Linked DNA regions of Macaca mulatta. The protein of the gene in region 1 purifies or fractionates together with the protein of each later gene. This does not show direct contact. Links are inferred from orthologs where the notes say so. Each region holds a gene or a part of one and is shown in the gene's direction. Other genes may lie near its edges. The genes, in order: DCAF6, TNNC2, CUL4B and CUL4A.

The links.
Region 2: the proteins of DCAF6 (region 1) and TNNC2 purify together in Homo sapiens (affinity purification with mass spectrometry; 3 studies listed by BioGRID and IntAct, with this or other methods). This does not show direct contact. The link is inferred for Macaca mulatta from reciprocal best matches to the Homo sapiens genes DCAF6 and TNNC2.
Region 3: the proteins of DCAF6 (region 1) and CUL4B purify together in Homo sapiens (affinity purification with mass spectrometry; 6 studies listed by BioGRID and IntAct, with this or other methods). This does not show direct contact. The link is inferred for Macaca mulatta from reciprocal best matches to the Homo sapiens genes DCAF6 and CUL4B.
Region 4: the proteins of DCAF6 (region 1) and CUL4A purify together in Homo sapiens (affinity purification with mass spectrometry; 8 studies listed by BioGRID and IntAct, with this or other methods). This does not show direct contact. The link is inferred for Macaca mulatta from reciprocal best matches to the Homo sapiens genes DCAF6 and CUL4A.

Annotation. Positions count from the first base shown.
Region 1 is NC_133406.1:25,601,059-25,605,546, forward strand, and holds part of DCAF6 (DDB1- and CUL4-associated factor 6), read left to right. Parts: intron 1-1,900; coding exon 1,901-2,006; intron 2,007-4,488. UniProt on the Homo sapiens protein: Ligand-dependent coactivator of nuclear receptors. Enhance transcriptional activity of the nuclear receptors NR3C1 and AR. May function as a substrate receptor for CUL4-DDB1 E3 ubiquitin-protein ligase complex.
Region 2 is NC_133415.1:98,614,166-98,619,198, reverse strand, and holds the start of TNNC2 (troponin C, skeletal muscle), read left to right. Parts: upstream 1-1,544; 5' UTR 1,545-1,588; coding exon 1,589-1,591; intron 1,592-3,992; coding exon 3,993-4,044; intron 4,045-4,180; coding exon 4,181-4,324; intron 4,325-4,412; coding exon 4,413-4,527; intron 4,528-4,690; coding exon 4,691-4,827; intron 4,828-5,033. UniProt on the Homo sapiens protein: Troponin is the central regulatory protein of striated muscle contraction. Tn consists of three components: Tn-I which is the inhibitor of actomyosin ATPase, Tn-T which contains the binding site for tropomyosin and Tn-C.
Region 3 is NC_133426.1:126,931,026-126,935,513, reverse strand, and holds part of CUL4B (cullin-4B), read left to right. Parts: intron 1-1,105; coding exon 1,106-1,211; intron 1,212-3,103; coding exon 3,104-3,276; intron 3,277-4,488.
Region 4 is NC_133422.1:107,452,286-107,457,286, forward strand, and holds the start of CUL4A (cullin-4A), read left to right. Parts: upstream 1-1,855; 5' UTR 1,856-1,870; coding exon 1,871-2,018; intron 2,019-2,212; coding exon 2,213-2,328; intron 2,329-5,001. Other genes in the region: PCID2 (PCI domain-containing protein 2), read right to left, coding at 842-877. UniProt on the Homo sapiens protein: Core component of multiple cullin-RING-based E3 ubiquitin-protein ligase complexes which mediate the ubiquitination of target proteins. As a scaffold protein may contribute to catalysis through positioning of the substrate and the ubiquitin-conjugating enzyme.

The DNA of each region.
Region 1 (4,488 bases):
TAAGATTTTTATTGTACTTACTACAGACCATATTTCAATTTGTTCCTAAAATGCTTCCCTAAGAAAAATTAAAACAGTTTATTATTAGTTGCTAATATGAAACAAGTTAATGCAGTTAAGGAGGTCAAATTTTAAGAAAAAGAAAAATTAAGATAAAAGTATGTCTATAATACTAGGGAGGTAAAATCAAAATAGTAGCTTACTAATTATAATACTGATCATCAGTAATACCAGATTAGTGTGTAGTTTAAGAAAAACAGGTTTGAGTATTCACGTCATTACAATAAAGAATCACACACAAAAAATTCTGTCCTTTTAAGAAAATAATTTTATTATGGCTGTTTCTCCAAAAGCATAGCAATTTTTCCATTTTTAGTATAGCTATTTTTCCATTTTGAGTTTTTCTTAAAAAGGAAATGGAACTTTCTTTTTCAGAATTAGTATATAGCAGAACAAATGATTGAAGAATCTTTTCCTTTATCATTATATTTTAAGATATTTTTAAGCCTGTTGAAACGGTATTTTCAACATGAGTTCTTTGGAGCTCTAGATTTCTTCTGGGATTGGGAGAGGGAAGGTAGATAATAGGAAGGCATTACTCTGGGCCTTTCCCCCCCCAACTTCAGCCAGGGTTTTTATTTGTGGGTTCTCATATACTATTTCTTATGAAAATGAGAATCCATTGCGAAAAATGTTAGTAAGTTGGAAAACCACTACTCTAGACTAACACTGACTGTTCGTAGCACAATTCCCATGTATACTTTCACTCATTGAATAGACCTTTATAAAACACTTGATGTATGTTATACATAATGCTGGGTTTAAAAAAGATAAAGCCCTACCCTCAGAGTTTAGTAGGAAAGACAGTGTAAACAACTAGAACATACTGTAGTGGGGTCTGTGTCCGTCAGAGGTATACACACAGTGTTTCGGAAGCCCACAGAGAGGAACAGCTGTGTTTGTAAGTGGGGTAGATGAGGTGGAGAGGTCTTCACAGAAGAAATAAGAATTGGACAGAAGTCTGAGAATAGTTCACCAGGCAGATTGGGAGCAAAGGAGCATTTAAGACAGAAGGATCAGCATGTGCCAAAGCATGAGAGGGTAAATGAACCATCAGTGTGCCTGGAACCCTAGAGTACATGCACAAAAGTAGCTCAATCAAACTAAACAGGTAGGTGAGGGTAAGATTATAAAGGGCCCTGTGAGGCACCCTAATGAGTTGGGAATTTATTATTTCAGTATTGGGGAATTGTTGATCAGAGTAGCATCTTTCTCTTCATCTGATACTCTTCCTTTCATCCTTTTTTTCCTTTGCCATGTTTTTTGCTTTTCCACTTTTTTCCTTTGCTCATGGTTACATATTGCATCTCTGGATGTTCACGAATATTCAAGTACTATTCTTGGTACTTAAGGCTCAGTTCCTTGTTAACCCTTGCCCCAAAATTTATTTTTGAAGACTACTCTGCTTCAGTCAAGGCAACATCTTCTGAACGGATTCAAGTGGCCCATGGATAATAATTTAACTGTATTGTATCGCTAAAGTTATCAGTTCTCCTATAGGGAAAACAAGGAACCTACAAAGTAAATTGCTCTCAGAAAGAAACTGCAAGTAAAAGCTAAATTAAATTCTTAACTGTTTTAAGCAGCCTCATGTTTTAAGTTTGACCTTTGTTTTTCTGCCAGTTGAAAGAGTTGTGTTCTCTGACCTTCCTCCTTTAAATGCAAGCTACAGTGATTGTTTGGCATTGAATAGACTTAAGGCAGAAATGTAGACATCAGATGCATAAAGAATGAAGTAATTCCTCCTGGTACTGGCTGATTGTTTATTGTTTGCCTGATCTTCAAGGAAAAGGTACAGTTACGCTTTGATCTTTGATATGATTTTTAACTTGCCTTGTAGGTTATAACTCGAAATGAACTCATGCTGGAAGAAACTAGAAACACCATTACAGTTCCAGCCTCTTTCATGTTGAGGATGTTGGCTTCACTGAATCATATCCGAGCTGGTAGGAACTTTAAGTATACTACGAAAACCACTTTTATATTTGAAAAACATGTTATTATTTAAGATCTACTTTAAAGGGGTTTATATATTTTTTAATATCACAAAATGAAGGTAGCTTAACTTCTAAACTAGGATTTCTGTGAATGCTTGTTCTTAGCACAGTAACTTAGTTCCTCATGAACTACATTTGTAGACCTTAAGATATAGTGCATATTCTTTAATGGTAGGTTTGTTGAAAATCAGTCATAGCCCAGACAAAAATAAATGTTACATGCTAAGAAATGAAACATACCTCAGTTTGTTTTTTCAGTATTTTTTTGTTTTAGATAAACTCTGAGGTGCAGTGCCACAGATACATAAAAATGCATATATTACAACTAATGTTCAAGAAGGAATCGAATAATTTATAACAAAAGGTCTAGTATCTGTTATAAGCAAAATACGTTTATCAAACAAAAGAGTTTATCACTCTTCACTGATTTCATAAATGTCTCTATACGTTTGGTATTAGCTCTCATTTAATAATAATAGCTACCATTTTTAGAGTAACTATAATGTATCAGGCTTATACTAATTATTTCACAGTTTTATCCTCATTTAGCTCCAATTGTTAGCCCAAGTCACACAACTGATAAATGTTAAAGCCAGAATTTGAAATTAGCTACCAAGCCCTTACTCCCCTTTGAACTGTAAGTTTCACTTACAGAACTATATTGAAATCATTGATATGACATGCAAACCTCTGGATGGTCTAATCTCAAACTATTCTAGCTGATTTACAGCATTCTTTTCTTCTGTGACTACTCCATCCACACTGGCCCTCTTTGATTTTTGGGGATACATCAAACTCTTTCCCACCTCAGCGTTTTTATAATCATGCTGTCCCCTCCCATCCTCACTCTGTTAAGATAACTTCTTATTTTAAGAACTGCATGAGCAATGAACTAAATATCACTTCCTCAGAGAGAGTGGGGAATGGAAACAAGTATTCCACACAAAGTAGACAGCAGATAGCATTTTTCTAAGCCCTTACAGAGGAGAGAAAGTGTAGCACATCTGAAAAATTGAAAGAAGACCCATATGTTTGTAATTAAAAGAATTAGAGAGAAAATAATCCTCAAATGTAAATGTTAACTATTACCAGGAAGGAGGGAAAACTTCAAATGGTGAAAATAACAACAAAAAATAAACCTGGAATGTAAACAAAAAATGTTAGTAGACCAACAAAATGTTTTTGTAATACTTCTTTGGGTTCCTCTGTTTATTAAATTGTAATAACACTTTAACTTTTTAAAAATATATTTTGTTCAATAACAGCAAGTAACCCGTAAAATTCATCCATTTGAATTCCACATTTGAGGAAGCCGCATTTTAAAACAAGAAAAACATTTACTGGTAATGACACCTAAAATGTGCTTACCCATCTAGTGGATGGCTCTTCTTCAGTAGTTTTCCTGCAGAAAATTCTCTTTCCAGTTGCACAAAAATCTAATTTGTGCTAATGTGGCAATGGTTGGTTAGTTAATAGCTACTACCATCCTTCTTTGGTTTTAGAATTAGATAAGATGTTTTATAATATAAAAATTCTCTTTCTTTCATCTCTTTTTGCCAGCAATCAAAAAGACAATTTCTAGTTGATTTAGTCAGCTTGTCTTCTTGCTTCTCTTATACAAAATACTAGATAGAATAAAGTGCCCAAGAGTTGTATTTCTGCTGCCCTTATCCTTAAGATATCTAGTTATTTGATGGGTCAGTTAGTCAACCACTCTTTTCCTCTCCTATCCAGTGTCCTGCATTCCAAGTACAATAATGTGTGCATGTTCAGGAGAGTTAAAAATGGACTTGGATCAAATAAGCACATGGTAGCCACAAAGTACCTCTTGGCTCATCCATTACTCCAGAAGGCTTCCTAGGAAGTCCAGGGAATAGATAGAAGACAGTTTCTTTCTATTGGAGCTGTGATTTTTAATGAAGGATCCTCTTCAAATCACCTGTAGGGCTTTTACAAACTACAAATACTTACCTAGGTCTCACCTGCTAAAGATTCTGGTTCATTTTAGCTGGATAGAGATTAAGCTTCTACATTTTTAAAAAGCAACCAAAGTTCATCTCATGAATAATGCACTAAAGACTGCTAGTCTAGTGGCCTCTTGAGATGGAAAGGCAGTTCTAACATCCCTGGAAGTTTTGAGAGGCTTTGAAAAGATGGTAATGGTGTGCATGGATCATTCTAGACTCCTCTAGAATGTCTTAGAATCACTTTACTGCCCTGTGTAAAATTCTCCTTTGCCCACACATGTTCTTAGGGTAGAGTCCAAATGTGTTAACATGTCTTATAAAACCCTGCATTATCTCTTGACATTCTTCCCATTATACCTCTGGACCTTGGCACAGATAATTATCATTTCTCTGTCATGGGTTTGCAAAGCCTGTCATCCTATTGAGATCACAGTAACTTATTAAATCGTTTTCAGATTGACTCC
Region 2 (5,033 bases), on another chromosome or scaffold:
TGTCCATCTGCATTCCTTGGTGTCCAGCCCCCATTTCCTGGCCCCAGAGCCTGCTATCGGTTGTCTTGGTGCTCTTTCTGTCGACGTAGTCACTGTCCACAAGTCTTGCCTACTCCCCAGTGCCCAGCCTTTACCTTGTGGATTCTCAGGGTGGGTTCCCTCTGGACTTGCTTTGCCCACCCCTTTACTCCCCAGATGACCAGATGTCTTCACTGAGCTCTAGGAAGGGGCCAGCTACCCCTTTACCACTTAAATAACCTTCCCTTGCCTACTCCTTACCCCCAAAAAGTGAATCCAAACACCCTTTCCATGGAGAAGGTAACTTTGAGAGAAGGATCTTTGCTTTCAATGATTATTTCTCCTCCAAATGCACATCCTCCTCTCCTCCATCCCTCCATACATTTTTCCATCTAGACAGGTCCCCCAAGGACTGTCTGTCCCAACTTCCTTCCAATCGGGATTAATAATAAGAATCATCAACATGGGTGGGCATGGTGCCTCATGCCTGTAATTCTAGTACTTCGGGAGGCCAAGGATTCAAGGATGCCTTGAGCCTAGGAGTTCGAGACCAGCCTGGGCAACATGGTGAAACCCCATCTCTACAAAAAATACAAAAAAGGAAAACAAAAAAAGCCAGGGGTGGTGGCGCACTGCTAGTCCCAGCTACTCGGGAGGCTGAGGTGGGAGGATCACTTGAGCCCAGGAGATCGAGGCTGCAGTGAGCTATAATAGTACCACTGCACATCAGCCTTGGTGACAGAGTGAGTATAGACCTTTATGATTTACAAATCTCTGCAGTCAAATGGAGATAATAATAGTTGCTATCTCATAGGAGGAGCACTAGATGAGATCATGTTAAAATGCTTAGCACAGTGTGTGGCACATTGTGGGGGTTCAGTAAACAGTGGCCTAGCTGTCACTTTCCCCTCCTTCTATCCCCTGCCCCTTACCATGGTTCAAAGACAGGACATTCCTCTTGCCAAGCATCAACGCTGTGTACCCGGCACAAGCTAGGTGACTTATACCTGGGTTCCCATTTACCATGTTCTCTCTGTGAGGGAGACCCCACAGAGAGGTCCATTCCCACAGATGAAGAAATGACTCAGAGAGGCACTGCTACCTGCCCAAGGTCACACAGCTCGCAGAGGCTGGCCTTGGATCTTGGGTTTTGGACTTCAAGGCTTGTACTCTCCCCATTTTACCATGCTGCCTCACTCTTTACTACTCTGATAGTCCTTACCATCTTGGAGCTAGTGTGCTTCCTTGGTCGGGGGGACTCCAAGGCGGTGGAACAGGGCGGGACTTCCTCACAAGAATCTAGGACGTCAAGGCCTGCCACCTGCTTGGAGGCTTAAATTTCTCTGCAAGGGCCCTTGGCTAAATTAGGTAATGGGTTCAGACTGTGGGAGGGGTGGGGCTCGCCGACCCCAGGATCTGATTGGGCAGGGTCTCCAGTGCTGGGGAGCAGGGAGGTGGGAGGGGAGGGTGCCCCTACAAATCCCGGGGGCTAGAGCAGGCCAGGGCATCTTTGGGTGGCGGAGTGCAAAGGAGGCGACCTGCAGCAGAGGAGTCCTGGTCACCAGCAACCATGGTAAGGACAAGAGGGAACTTTGTGCCTTTACTTGCGGGAGCACTCTGGACCTCTTTCAGGCCAGACCTGAGTGCTTTGTGGGGCAGTAACTGGGATGTTTGAGGTTGGAGCATGGAGGTTCCTGGAACCCAGGTGTCTTAAAGGAAGGCCTTTGACTTTTCTTGAAAGGGGAGGGCTGGGATATTCCAGAGATTGATCCTCAAGGCTTGCTGACTGCCTACTCACCTTCGGAAACTTCCAGCAGTGTCATTCGTAGACCTGTGAGGAGCTCTTAGCTTGTTTCCTTCACACAGTGGGGACTCTGAGGGGTCAGAGTGAGTCACCCAGCAGGCCAGTGGCAGGGGTGAGCCAGAAGCCTGGCAAACCCTCCTATCATCATGGAGAGAAGAAAGCCTCGTCCAGAAGACAGGAGGTGGGCAGGGTGTGGGGCCTGCTCAGATGCAGGGCTCTGGGAGCCCTGAGGATGATGGGAAGGGGCAGAAGATGACAGACCAGAGTTAGAGAGACTCTGCTCTCCTAGAGAGGGGTTCTGATTTGGAGCTGTTGTTTTCGTCTGAGATCCCCCTGCCCACTTCACTTCAAGGAGTAACTAGATCCCGGAGGCCAGCTGCTGTTGCCCATGCCTGACTAAAAATAGCCTGCCCTCCTGGCACAGGGAAAGAGGAGGAGAGGAAGGAGGGGGAGAAGGAGGAGGGCCGGCAGCCAGCCGGCTGAAGAGCTCCTTGGAAGCCTCACCCCGTCCTCACTGCCAGCCTCAATCCAAAGCCTCTGGCCCAGATGGCCTGGCTTGGGTATGACCTGGAAACCCCCGCAGATATCTCACTTTCAGGTCAAGGCCTCCATCACATTCGGCCCAACATGAGGGGCCTTTTCTCCAATGACTGAATCCTAAGAAGGAAGCTTACAGTCTCCGACTCTGCCAGTTCTCTGAGGGGCGGGATGATGTGTCCTCTGTCTCTTCTTGGTGGTCCCAGTGCCTGATCTGCGGCCTGACGTGCAGCAAGTACTCAATAACTTTGTGTTGCATTATTATTTATTTGAGAACAAACATTTTATTGAGCAACAATTAAAGTACCGGGCACCACTAGGAGCTACAGAAAACTGGAAAATAGTGCTGGAATGGTGCTAGCCTTTACAAAACCCTTTCACACCGCTGATATCTCATCCCTGAAAAGCTACAGAGAAAAGATGAATGCATGCTAAGTGACTTGCCTAAGGTCACTGGGGGGTTCCTGACTTGGCCTTCAATTGACAAGTGAGAAGGCCTTGGGCTTAATTTGTTGTCTCCTCTCTTTTTCTCAAAACTGGGGTCACAGGCCACATGTGGTGGCTCACGCCTGTAATCCCATCACTTTGGGAAGCCGAGGCGGGCAGATCACTTAAGGTCGGGAGTTCAAGACCAGCCTGACCAACATAGAGAAACCTCATCTCTACTAAAAATACAAAATTAGCTGGGCATTGTGGTGCATGCCTGTAATCCCAGCTACTCGGGAGGCTGAGGGAGAAGAATCGCTTGAACCTGGGAGGCGGGGGTTGCAGTTGTGGTGAACTGAGATTGTGCCATTGCACTGCAGCCTGGGCAACAAGAGCAAAACTCTGTCTCAAAAACAAAACAAAACAAACAAAAAAACTGGGGTCAGGCCAGCCATGGTGGCTCACGCCTGTAATCCCAACACTTTGGGAAGCCAAGGTGGGTGGATCACCTGAAGTCAGGAGTTCAAGACCAACCTGGCCAACATGGTGAAACCCCGTCTCTACTAAAAATACAAAAATTAGCCGGGCGTGTTGGCGCATGCCTGTAATCCCAGCTACTTGGGAGGCTGAGGGAGGAGAATCGCTTGAACCCAGGAGGTGGAGGTTGCAGTAAGCCGAGATCACGCCATTGTACTCCAGCCTGGGCGACAGGGTGAGACTCTGTCACAAAAACAAAAAACAAAAACAAAAACTGGGGTCAGAAGCTGGGCACAGTAACTCAAGCCTGTAGTCCTAGCAATTTGGGAGGCTGTGGTGAGAGGATCACTCGAGCCCAGAAGTTCAAAACAAGCCTGTGTAATATAGTGGGACTCTGTCTCTACAAAAACTTAAAAAATAGTCAGGCATGGTGTGCACTATAGTCCCAGCTACTCAGGAGGCTGAGGCGGGACGACTGCTTGAGCCTAGGAGGTTGAGGCTGCAGTGAGCTATGATCACACTACTGCACTCCAGCCTGTGTGACAGAGCAAGGCAAAACAAAACTGTGATTGGGTGCTGTGCGGGCACACAATTATGTGGCAAGTTTGAAGTTGTTCTTTTGGAGGACCAAGAAGCGCTGAGAGAGTGAGGGTTGGGAAGAATGGGGTTCAGGTGTGCAACTGCCCTGGGGCTGCCTCTTCAGCTCAGACTTTCTCTGTGTCTCCTGCAGACGGACCAGCAGGCTGAGGCCAGGTCCTACCTCAGCGAGGAGATGATCGCTGGTGAGTGAGGCGCAGCAGGCTGGGCGCTGGGTGGATGTATGCTGGGGACATGTTGGCCTCTGGGCAGGGTTGGGGGGGTAGATGTGAGGCTGACAGTCCAGCTGGCCTCACCTCTGCCCTCTGCCCTCCCGTGCAGAGTTCAAGGCTGCCTTTGACATGTTTGATGCTGATGGTGGTGGGGACATCAGCGTCAAGGAGTTGGGCACGGTGATGAGGATGCTGGGCCAGACACCCACCAAGGAGGAGCTGGACGCCATCATCGAGGAGGTGGATGAGGACGGTGAGTGGGTGTCCCTCGGAGGCAGGGGATGGTGGGGAAAGGCGGCAGTGGCTGGGCTCAGGCTCAGTCCACCACCTGCTCCCCGCAGGCAGCGGCACCATCGACTTCGAGGAGTTCTTGGTCATGATGGTGCGCCAGATGAAAGAGGACGCGAAGGGGAAGAGCGAGGAGGAGCTGGCCGAGTGCTTCCGCATCTTCGACAGGTGCGCTGGGGGCCTGGGAGCCGAGGGAGGGGCTGAGCAGTCAAAGCCTGCCGGCAGCGCTGGAGGGTTCCCCGGGTTGGGGGTGCGGAAGCAGGGCGTCGAGTGTGGTGGCCAGGGCAGCTCGCCCTGGCCCTAAGCTCTGCCCTGACCCTTGGACCTGAAGGAATGCAGATGGCTACATCGACCCGGAGGAGCTGGCTGAGATTTTCAGGGCCTCTGGGGAGCACGTGACGGACGAGGAGATCGAATCTCTGATGAAAGACGGAGACAAGAACAATGACGGCCGCATTGACTTCGACGGTGAGGGAGGGCCACGGGAGCTTGGGAAGAGTGGGTGGGAGCCACAGGGGACGGCGAGCACTGGTGCCTGGCTCCCGTGCAGTGTCTTTGGCCTTGTGGGCTGGGCTGGGCATAACTTCAAAAGTTCCCCTAGTCTCCTGGGGGCGGGTATAGAAGCACCCACGACTCTGTGCAGTTTATCAATTAATGACCAGGCAGTGGGGGCG
Region 3 (4,488 bases), on another chromosome or scaffold:
CTGTCTCAGGGTGGAGTGCAGTGGCGCTATCTTGGCTCACCGCAACCTCCGCCTCCCAGGTTCAAGTGATTCTCCTGCCTCAGCCTCCCGAGTGGCTGGGACTACAGGCGTGCGCCACCATGCCCAGCTAATTTTTTTATATTTTTAGTAGAGACGGGGTTTCACCATGTTGGCCAGGATGGTCTCTATCTCTTGACCTTGTGATCCACCTGCCTCAGCCTCCCAAAGTGCTGGGATTATAGGCATGAGCCACCGCGTTTGGCCAGTTTAAGCTATTGTTTTATAATTGTATCCTAGATATCCGCATGACGACAGTGAGAGCTTGTCATAGCTTTATGTATTTTTAAGTAATTTTAGCTGTGTGGTCTTTCCACAATTGATTTGGCCCTTTTGCAAAACGAAAAGCAATGAACTTTTCCCCTACTCTTTCCTCACCTGTAGATGAAAACTTTACACTGCCACTTCCTATTTTTATTTATTTATTTACTTTTAGAGACAGGGTCCCACTCTTGTCACCCAGGCAGGAGTACAGTGGCACAATCACAGTTCACTGTAACCTCAAACTTATGGGCTCAAGCTATCTTCCTGCCTCCGCTTCCTAAAGTGCTGGGATTACAGGCATGAGCAACTACACCCAGCCTAACACTGCCACTTCTTGACAGAAATTTTGTTGCTGGGAGCTACGAATAGAGTGGGAGTTAAGGGGAACAGTGTGCAATATCTAATCTCAAAAAACTTTAGCTTTTCATGACTAATCTGAGCCAAACAAATAAAAAATACATTTGAAATGGTGATTTCTTGCTGCTTGTGATGAAGATCTAGAATGACACATAAGGCTGATTAATTTTCATTACTTTATTCTATTTATAAGGCTTAAAAAAAACTGTTAAAAGGTCAGCTAATCCTTCCCCCTGTTTTAGGTAGGGTCACACCTAAACCCCACACTGAAATACTGTATTACCACGTCAAGTGGCTTTGCTGGATAATGCTAATCATGTTTCTAAATCTACTAATTGAAAAATGCTTTTCCTGTAAGAGATGATTTGATTAATTTTTCATGTGTTTTTAAAAAAGTAATGGCTAAACACTTTTATTTCTTCAACAGGGTAAAAAAGAACTCCAGGTCTCTCTTTTTCAAACACTGGTGCTGCTAATGTTTAATGAGGGAGAGGAGTTCAGTTTAGAAGAGATCAAGCAGGCAACCGGAATAGGTTTGTATTGAATTGGTTGATTAGCAAACATTAAGTGTTCACTATGTGCATACCACTGTGTTAAGAGGTCTGAGGGACATTTATAGGAATAATCCCTTGCCTCAGAACTCTTTTGAGGGTTTTTTTTTTTCTTTAACGAGGGTCTCAGTCTGTCACCCAGGCTGGGGTCCAGTGGTACAATCATGGCTCAGGATCAAGTGATTCTCCTGCCTCAGTCTCCCAAGCAGATGGGACTACAAGTGCATGCCACCATGCCTGGCTAATTTTTAGAATTTTTTTTGCAGAGACAGGGTCTCACTATGTTGCTTAGCCTGGTCTCAAACTCCTGAGCTCAAGGGATCTTCCTGCCTCAGCCTCCCTAAGTACTGCGATTACGTGCATGAGCCCCTGCACCCAGCCAGAACTCTTTTTTTTTCCCCCTGTCAAGATGGAATCTTGCTGTGTCACCTAGGCTGGAGTGCAGCGGCGTGATCTCAGCTCACTGCAACCACTACCTCCTGTGTTCAAGTGATTCTCCTGCCTCAGCCTCCTGAGTAGCTGGGATTACAGGTGCCCACCACCACACCTGGCTAATGTTTGTATTTTTAGTAGAGACAGGGTTTTACCATGTTGGCCAGGCTGGTCTCGAACTCCTGACCTCGTGATCCGCCTGCCTCGGCCTACCAAAGTGCTGGGATTACAGGTGTGAGCCACTGCGCCTGGCCAAAACTCTTAATATAACCATAGGGAAAGGGGGAAATGACACTTGAAATAATGTCAGAACCAATAAGTACTGGCTTGTGGTACTGACTAAGTGTGGTAGGAGTTCAACAAAGCAAGGGATCACTGTGGACTAGCACAATTGGGAAAGCTGTCATGAAGCAAGTGGCATTTGAGCTAGGCCTTCAAGTTTTGGTCAGGGAGAAGGCATATACAGCAAGGGGAAATATTTTGAGATGAGATTGGAGGTAGGAATGGGCACAGTATAGGCCCATGAAGAGCTTAATTGTAGCACGGAATCATGAAGAATCATGAAGAGCTTAATTGTAACAGAATAGTGAGTTAAAAAATTAGGTAGGATGAGTAGTGCCTGATTGTGGAGAACCTGATAAATCTAGCAAATGCAAACCTACATTGTAGTGTCTCAACTATGTGGCGTGGTGGAAGTAATTATTTGGACCACTTACTGAAATCAATGTACAGGGCAACTGGAAGGATCAAGGGATTCCAGTTTAGACGCTGTTGGGATGATTCAGGCATAAAGTGGAAGGGCCTTAGACTAGAATGAGGCCATGAAAATGGAGAAAATTCATCTCTGCAGAAGCAACAGCTAGCTATTATGTTGAGGATGAGGGAGAAGGAAAAGTTAAAAGATGATTTCAGGGTTTCCCAATTGCGAAGGTTAGTAGTATCACCACTGACAGTTGGAAAGAGGACACAGTTATATAGAGATGATGAATCAAATTTTGGACGTGACTACAGTTGATAGTAAAACAGCCAGGCGGAATTGCCATTTAAACGTGCAACTGGAGAGAAGTGAAATGTCATTTTGGAAGATTTGGTAGTTGCGCACATCATATGATAATTGACACCTTTAAAAGATGACTAGGGGCCAGGTGTGGTGGCTCACACCTGTAATCCCAGCACTTTGGGAGGCCAAGGCGGGTGGATCACTTGAGCTCAGGAGTTTGAGACCAGCCTGGGCAACATGGTGAAACCCCGTCTCTATTTTTTTTAAAAAAAGAAGAGAACTAGGAAAAAAGCCATTGGCTAGGACAAAGAAGAGTTGTTGGTGACCTTTGGGAAAAAATGAAACAGTTTTAATAGGGGGATGGAGTGGAAACTAGATTGAGGTAGAATGTGGTAGTTGTTCATGCTGGTAACAAATAACTAAACCTCTCTTTCTTCTTCAGAGGATGGAGAGTTAAGGAGAACACTGCAGTCATTAGCCTGTGGCAAAGCTAGAGTTCTGGCAAAAAATCCAAAGGGCAAAGATATTGAAGATGGTGACAAGTTCATTTGTAATGATGATTTCAAACACAAACTTTTCAGGATAAAGATCAATCAAATCCAGATGAAAGAAACGGTATTTCTTTCACTTTCTCCTAGTCCTAACACACTGGAATTATACATGTTAATAATTAAAATATATAAAGATTTTATACCTGTAATACTGCCAATACCATTAACATTTTCTCTGCTATGTCCAGCTAAATATATTTCCGTATTTGATTTTGGGTTTTTGGGAGAGTGCTTGTACAGGATTGGGTTGATACTCAACATGGTTTTATATCCTACTTTGTTTATTTAATATTCAATCTTTAGAATTTTTCCATGCCATTAAATAGCTTCAAAAAATGGCAAATGGCAGTGTAATATTTTTACATGGCTCTTACAGTTTATTCAACCACTGTTCATTTTGGGGCAATTAAATTCATGACTTTTTAGTATTATAAATAAAATTGCAAGAAACCTCTTTGAACCTAAATTTTAATCTCTTTGATATATGATAAATGTGTGGAAGTAGATTTTTTTGGGTTAAAGGGTATGAACATTTTAGGAGTCTTAGTACATAATGTCATATTGTGTTCCAGAAAGACTGAACCAGTTTATACTCTGTCCAGCAGCATATGAGAGCCTGTCTTACTATGTCCACCAGCACTAAAGATTATATTTTCTTTTTCCAACTTGCTTGGTGAAAAATCTGAATGATTTATTCACTATTTGTTTGATTAACAGTGAAGGTGGGCCAGGCACGGTGGTTCACGCCTGTAATGCCAGCACCTTGGGAGGCCGAGGCGGGTGGATCACCTGAGGTCAGGAGTTCAAGACCAGCTTGGCCGACGTGGTGAAACCCTGTCTCTACTAAAAATATAAAAATTAGCTGGGCGTGGTAGTGCGTGCTTGTAGTCCCAGCTACTTGGGAGACTGAGGCATGAGAATCACCTGAACCCAGGATGTGGAGGTTGCAGTGAGCTGAGATTGCGCCACTGCACTGCAGCCTGGGTGACAGAGTGAGACTCTGTCTAAAAAAAAGAAAAAAACAAAAACAGTGAAGGTGAATATTTTGTTTGTTTTTGCCATTTGAATTTGTAAGAGACTTCCAACTGCAGCATCCTGAAACTGATGGTTTCAGTTCCAATAAGGTTTAATGCAATATTTGAAAAAAAAAAATTTTTTTTTTTTTTTTTGATGTGGAGTCTCACTCTGTCACCCAGGCTGGAGTCAGTGGCGCGATCTTGACTCACTGCAACCTCTGCCTTCTGGGTTCAAGTGGTTTTCCTGCCTCAGCCTCCTG
Region 4 (5,001 bases), on another chromosome or scaffold:
TGTCAACAGATACCTCAAACTCAACATGCCCAAAACTTAATTTATTTCTCCCTCCAAATCCACTCTATTCATCTTTTTCCCAGACTACAAACCTGGGAATCATTCTTAACTCCTCGGTGTCCCTCAGCCCACCCATTCTTATTCACCACGTCCTGGTAATGTTTCCTTCAAATATTTTAAAAATCCATTCCCTATTTTTCCTATTCCTGTTACCACAGTGCTGGTTCTGAGGACAGGCATAGTTAAGTGGAAAGAATATGCGCTTTGAAGCCTGTAAGGCTGTTGAACAACACCCGTCAGACGCATCTACCGAGCGATATGAAGTGTGCATTGTGCTTGGAGAGTGAAGGGCGTTAAAACACAGCGAAGACCAGGGACACCAGCCCGGCCTGAAACACCGCCACAGCCTCGCGCTTACCCCTCCATCGCCTCCTGGAGTCCCCGAAGTCATCCCGCATCCTGCTGGGAAGCAGCGTCCACCCGACACAGCACCGCCCACACCGGGCCCTTGGCGCGGCTCGCAGGCCCTTCGGGCCCCCTGGGGGCGCGGCCACACACGCCAGCAATGAGGGCAGTGACCTGGAGCCCCCGCGTCTACTTACACCGCGACAACTCCGCGATCCACGGACACCGCCCGGCCCCCACGGCGGCCCTGCAGGGGAGCCCCGGCCGCCGCTGTTCGGCCTTTCAGTCGGCTCGCGCCGCTGCCCGCCGGGGACCCGGACAGAGGACAGGGGGCGAGGCGCGAAAGGAAGACGCCTGAGGGTCCAAGGCAGGAGGGGACACACGGAACACGCCGAGGGCCAGCCACACCGCCGCGCGCTCCCCGGCTAGGACCCACCTGCTGCAGGTACTGGTTGATGGTAATGTGTGCCATGGCAGCGCCGCCGAGCACAGAGCGCCACCCCCTACACCCCAAGCGGGACAGCTGGCGTCACTTCCTGCCCTCGGTCCGTCTGGGTCCCGGAGCCCCCGACCCCGTCTCCTGTGCGCAGGGTGGTTCCGGAGGGAGAATCCAGGGACCGGCTCGGCGACACGCTCGGGCTAAGGGGTCCCGGGGTCTTTCTGTCGGGCCCCCGTCCTCTCAGCCGGGACGCCAGCGACTCTGATTGTGTGTTCGGGCCCGCCCGGGCTGAGGGGTTTGGGGTCCAGTGGCGAGAACAGCCCCACTGCTAAAGTGCCTTTCACTGCGCTGTCCCCTCGACTGCCCCTTGTGAAAACGAGGCCGCGGATCACGCTCCGCGCCGGGCTGGGCCAGGGACTCGGGACGCGCGCGCCCGAGCGAGGGTGGAGGGGAGGGACATGGCGCGCGCTCCCGAGCTCTCATAAGGTGCCTCCGCCGCGCGCTCCCGAGACTTCAGAAGTTGGGGCACGTCCCGGCGCGCACCCCCAAGCCCTCGAGGTGGTCTCACGCCCCGGGTGCGGGTGCCGAACCCTCAGGAGGAGCGCTCCCTGGGGCCCTCAGGAGGGGGTCCCGGCTCCCGAGCCCCTCAGGAGGGGGCCCCCGGCACGCACCCCCGAGCCAGGAGGGGGTACCCAGAGCCCCGGGGGTGTCCCGGTGCGCCCCCCGGAACCGGGGCTGTCCCGATCCCTCGGGGGCGGGGGTGGGGGTCCCGGCGCGCGCCCTCGAGCCAGGAATGGGTGTCCGAAGCTCTTAGGGGGGGTCCGATCCCTCAGGAGGGGTTCCCAGCGCGCGCCCCTAAGGGCTCAGCAGTAGCCGGGCGCGGCGGCGGTTGGACTCGGGCACGCGGGCGGGGCGGGGCGGGGCGCGCGAGGAGGACTGGGCGGAGGCCGCGCGGACCGGGGCGGGCGGAGCGGAGCTGGGCGGGCGGCGGCGCTCGGGGCGGGGCGCGGCGGTTCCGGCCCAGCCATGGCGGACGAGGCCCCGCGGAAGGGCAGCTTCTCGGCGCTCGTGGGCCGCACCAACGGCCTCACCAAGCCCGCGGCCCTGGCCGCCGCGCCCGCCAAGCCGGGGGGCGCGGGCGGCTCCAAGAAGCTGGTCATCAAGAACTTCCGAGGTGGGTGCGGCGGCCGGGTCGAGGGCCGGGCGACCCCAGCGGGCCCCACGAGACCCCGCCCGCCCTGGGGGGAAGGCCCGAGATCCGTACGGGCCTCTTGAGCGCGGGCGCTGGGGCGCCGGCCGGGTCGGGGGTGGCGACGCGGGGCGCTTCGCGGCGCGCCCTGAGCCGCCCGCTCTCTCTCCGCCCTGCAGACAGACCCCGGCTGCCCGACAACTACACGCAAGACACGTGGCGGAAGCTGCACGAGGCGGTGCGGGCCGTGCAGAGCAGCACCTCCATCAGGTACAACCTCGAGGAGCTCTACCAGGTGAGGCGGCGGCCGAGGCTGGGGGCGCCGCTCCTGCCCCGCGTGACGCAGACGCGGCCGGGCGGCCGCTCCGGGTGCCTCGCAGGCTCTCGCCGGGGAGCGGAAAGGCAGGGCGTTTGCCTCCACTGCAGGGCCGGGAGCCCCAGAGGCAACAAGTGGTTTTGTTTATTGCCGTGGTGGAATTTTTGTTTTCAGGCTTAAGCTGCTTAGAACGATTCTTAAAGTTATCCCATTACCGAAGAGAAGGAGGTGTGTTTCTAGGAGCCACGTGACTCATATTTTGCAAGTATACAGCAAATTATTTCTCTCGTTATAAATAAAACTGTTAGTACTGTGTCACTTGCCACAGTAATAGGGTTTTTTCTCTGTTGTGTTTTGTGATTAATGGTTCCCTTTAAGATATTCAGATTTTGAAAAACTTCAAAATTCAAAAACAGTGCTTTTCTTCTCTGTTTTGTGATCAGTGGTTGCCTTTAAGATATTCAGATTTTGTAGCGTTTAATTCAAAGTGATGGTGTTCCATTTATAAAGTAACAAAAAATGGCTAAAAGTGCATTTTACCGTACTTGGATATTTTATTTACATGCGGATGTTTTTTTCTGGCGTCGTCTTTTTGTAAAACAACGTTCATTAAGTAGTCTGATATCTACATTTTGGGTCACGATGTGTCATACACTTATTTCTGTGAAAATACTTGAATTAAAAAAATTCTTTTCTGGATATGCAAGTGACTGCATTGTAAAAATTATAAAAAATATATAAAAGAAGACTTCAATCACCTATACTCCTACCACCCAAAGAAAACTGTTGACAGTTTGGTGTACATACACATCCATTCTTTGTCTGAAGTGTAAGTGAGTTATGTTTTCTTGTCAGCTTTGAGATACAGTCTACATATAATATGCACTCCAAGAAGTTTTAACAGATGTATATATACCGTTATGTAACCGGCACCATGGTCAAGATAGACTCTTCTTGGTAGAAAGGTAGAATATTTTTACCACCCCCGAAATTGCCATGACCACTTTTGCAATCAGCCCTCTCCCCTGACTCCTAACCCTTGGCAGTCCCCCATTTGCTTTCTGTCGCTATATTTTGTCATTTCCAGAACGTTATCTAAATGCAGTCATCTATTTTGTAGTGTCTGGCTTCATTCACTTAGGACAGTGCTTTTGAGATTCATGTGCACGCAATGTGATTGTAACTTGTTTATTACCTCATAGAATGGGTATACCACAGTTATTTTCTCCATTCATCAGTTAATGGACATTTGAGTGTCCATGTTTGGGGTTTTTTATTTGTTTCTTTGAGATAGAGTTTCACTCTTGTCACCCCAGGCTGGAGTGCAGTGGCGCGATCTTGGCTCACTGCAACCTCGCAGATTGAAGCGATTCCCCTGCCTCAGCCTCCCAAGTAGCTGAGATTACAGGCACCCGCCACCACACCTGGCTAATTTTTGTATTTTCACCATGTTGGTCAGGCTGGTCTCAAACTCCTGACCTCAGGTGATCCGCCTGCCTTGGCCTCTCAAAGTGTTGCGATTACAGGCGTGAGCCCCTGCACCGGCCTTGGGTTGTTTTAAATAAAGCTGCTGTGAACATCTGTGAATGACCCTTTGTTTGGACATACATTCTTATTCCTCTCAGGTAAGTTCTGCTTACTTCTTTATCTAGAAGTAAGTTCTCAAGGGTCATATGGAAAATATATGTTTACCTTTTTATGAAATTTCTTGTTTTTCACAGTGGCTGCCCCTTTTGTGCCTCTCCCAGCAGTGTATGGGAGTTCCAGTTCCAGTCCGCCACCAGCATGTGGTGTCCTCAGCCTATAATTTTAGCTGCGCTAGTGGGTGTGTGGTGGAGTGTCGCTGTGGTTTTAGTTTGCATTTCCCTCTGATGTGAAGCATCTTCATATTTACTTGCCATTCTATGTATCTTTTTAGACGAAGTGTCTATTTAAATATTTTGCTCATTTTTGTTGTGTTGGTTATTTTCTTACTATTGAGTATTTGAGTTTATTAAGTATTCTGGATACAAGTCCTGTATCAGATATTCGCCTTACAAATACTTTCTCCCTAGTCTTCAACTTGTCTTTTGATTCTCTTAATTGTGCCATTTGAAGAGTAATAGTTTTAAGTTTTCAGGTCACATGTATCAGTTTGTTCTTCTATGGACTGTACTTTTAGTATCCAAGAAATCTTGCCTAATCTAAGGTCACAAAGTTTTCTCTTATATTTTCTTCCAGACATTTGAGAGTTTTAGGTTTTACATTTAGGTCTATGATCTATGTAGAGTGAATTTTTGTATATATTGTGAAATATAAATCTAGAGTCAGAGCGGGTGCAGTGGCTCATGCCTGTAATCCCAGCACTTTGGGAGGCCAAGGCGGGTGGATCACCTGAGCACTCAGGAGTTTGAGACCAACCTGGCCAACATGGTGAAACCCCATCTCTGCTAAAAATACAAAAAATTAGCCGGGCGTGGTGGCAGGCGCCTGGAATCCCAGCTACTCGGGAGGCTGAGGCCAGAGAATCGCTTGAACCCGGGAGGGAGAGGTTGCAGTGAGCCGAGGTTGTGCCACTGCACTCCAGCCTGAGCAACAGAATGAGACTCCATCTCAAAAAATAAACAAACAAACAAAAAATCTAGAGTCAGTATTTTCCTTGCAAATGTCCAG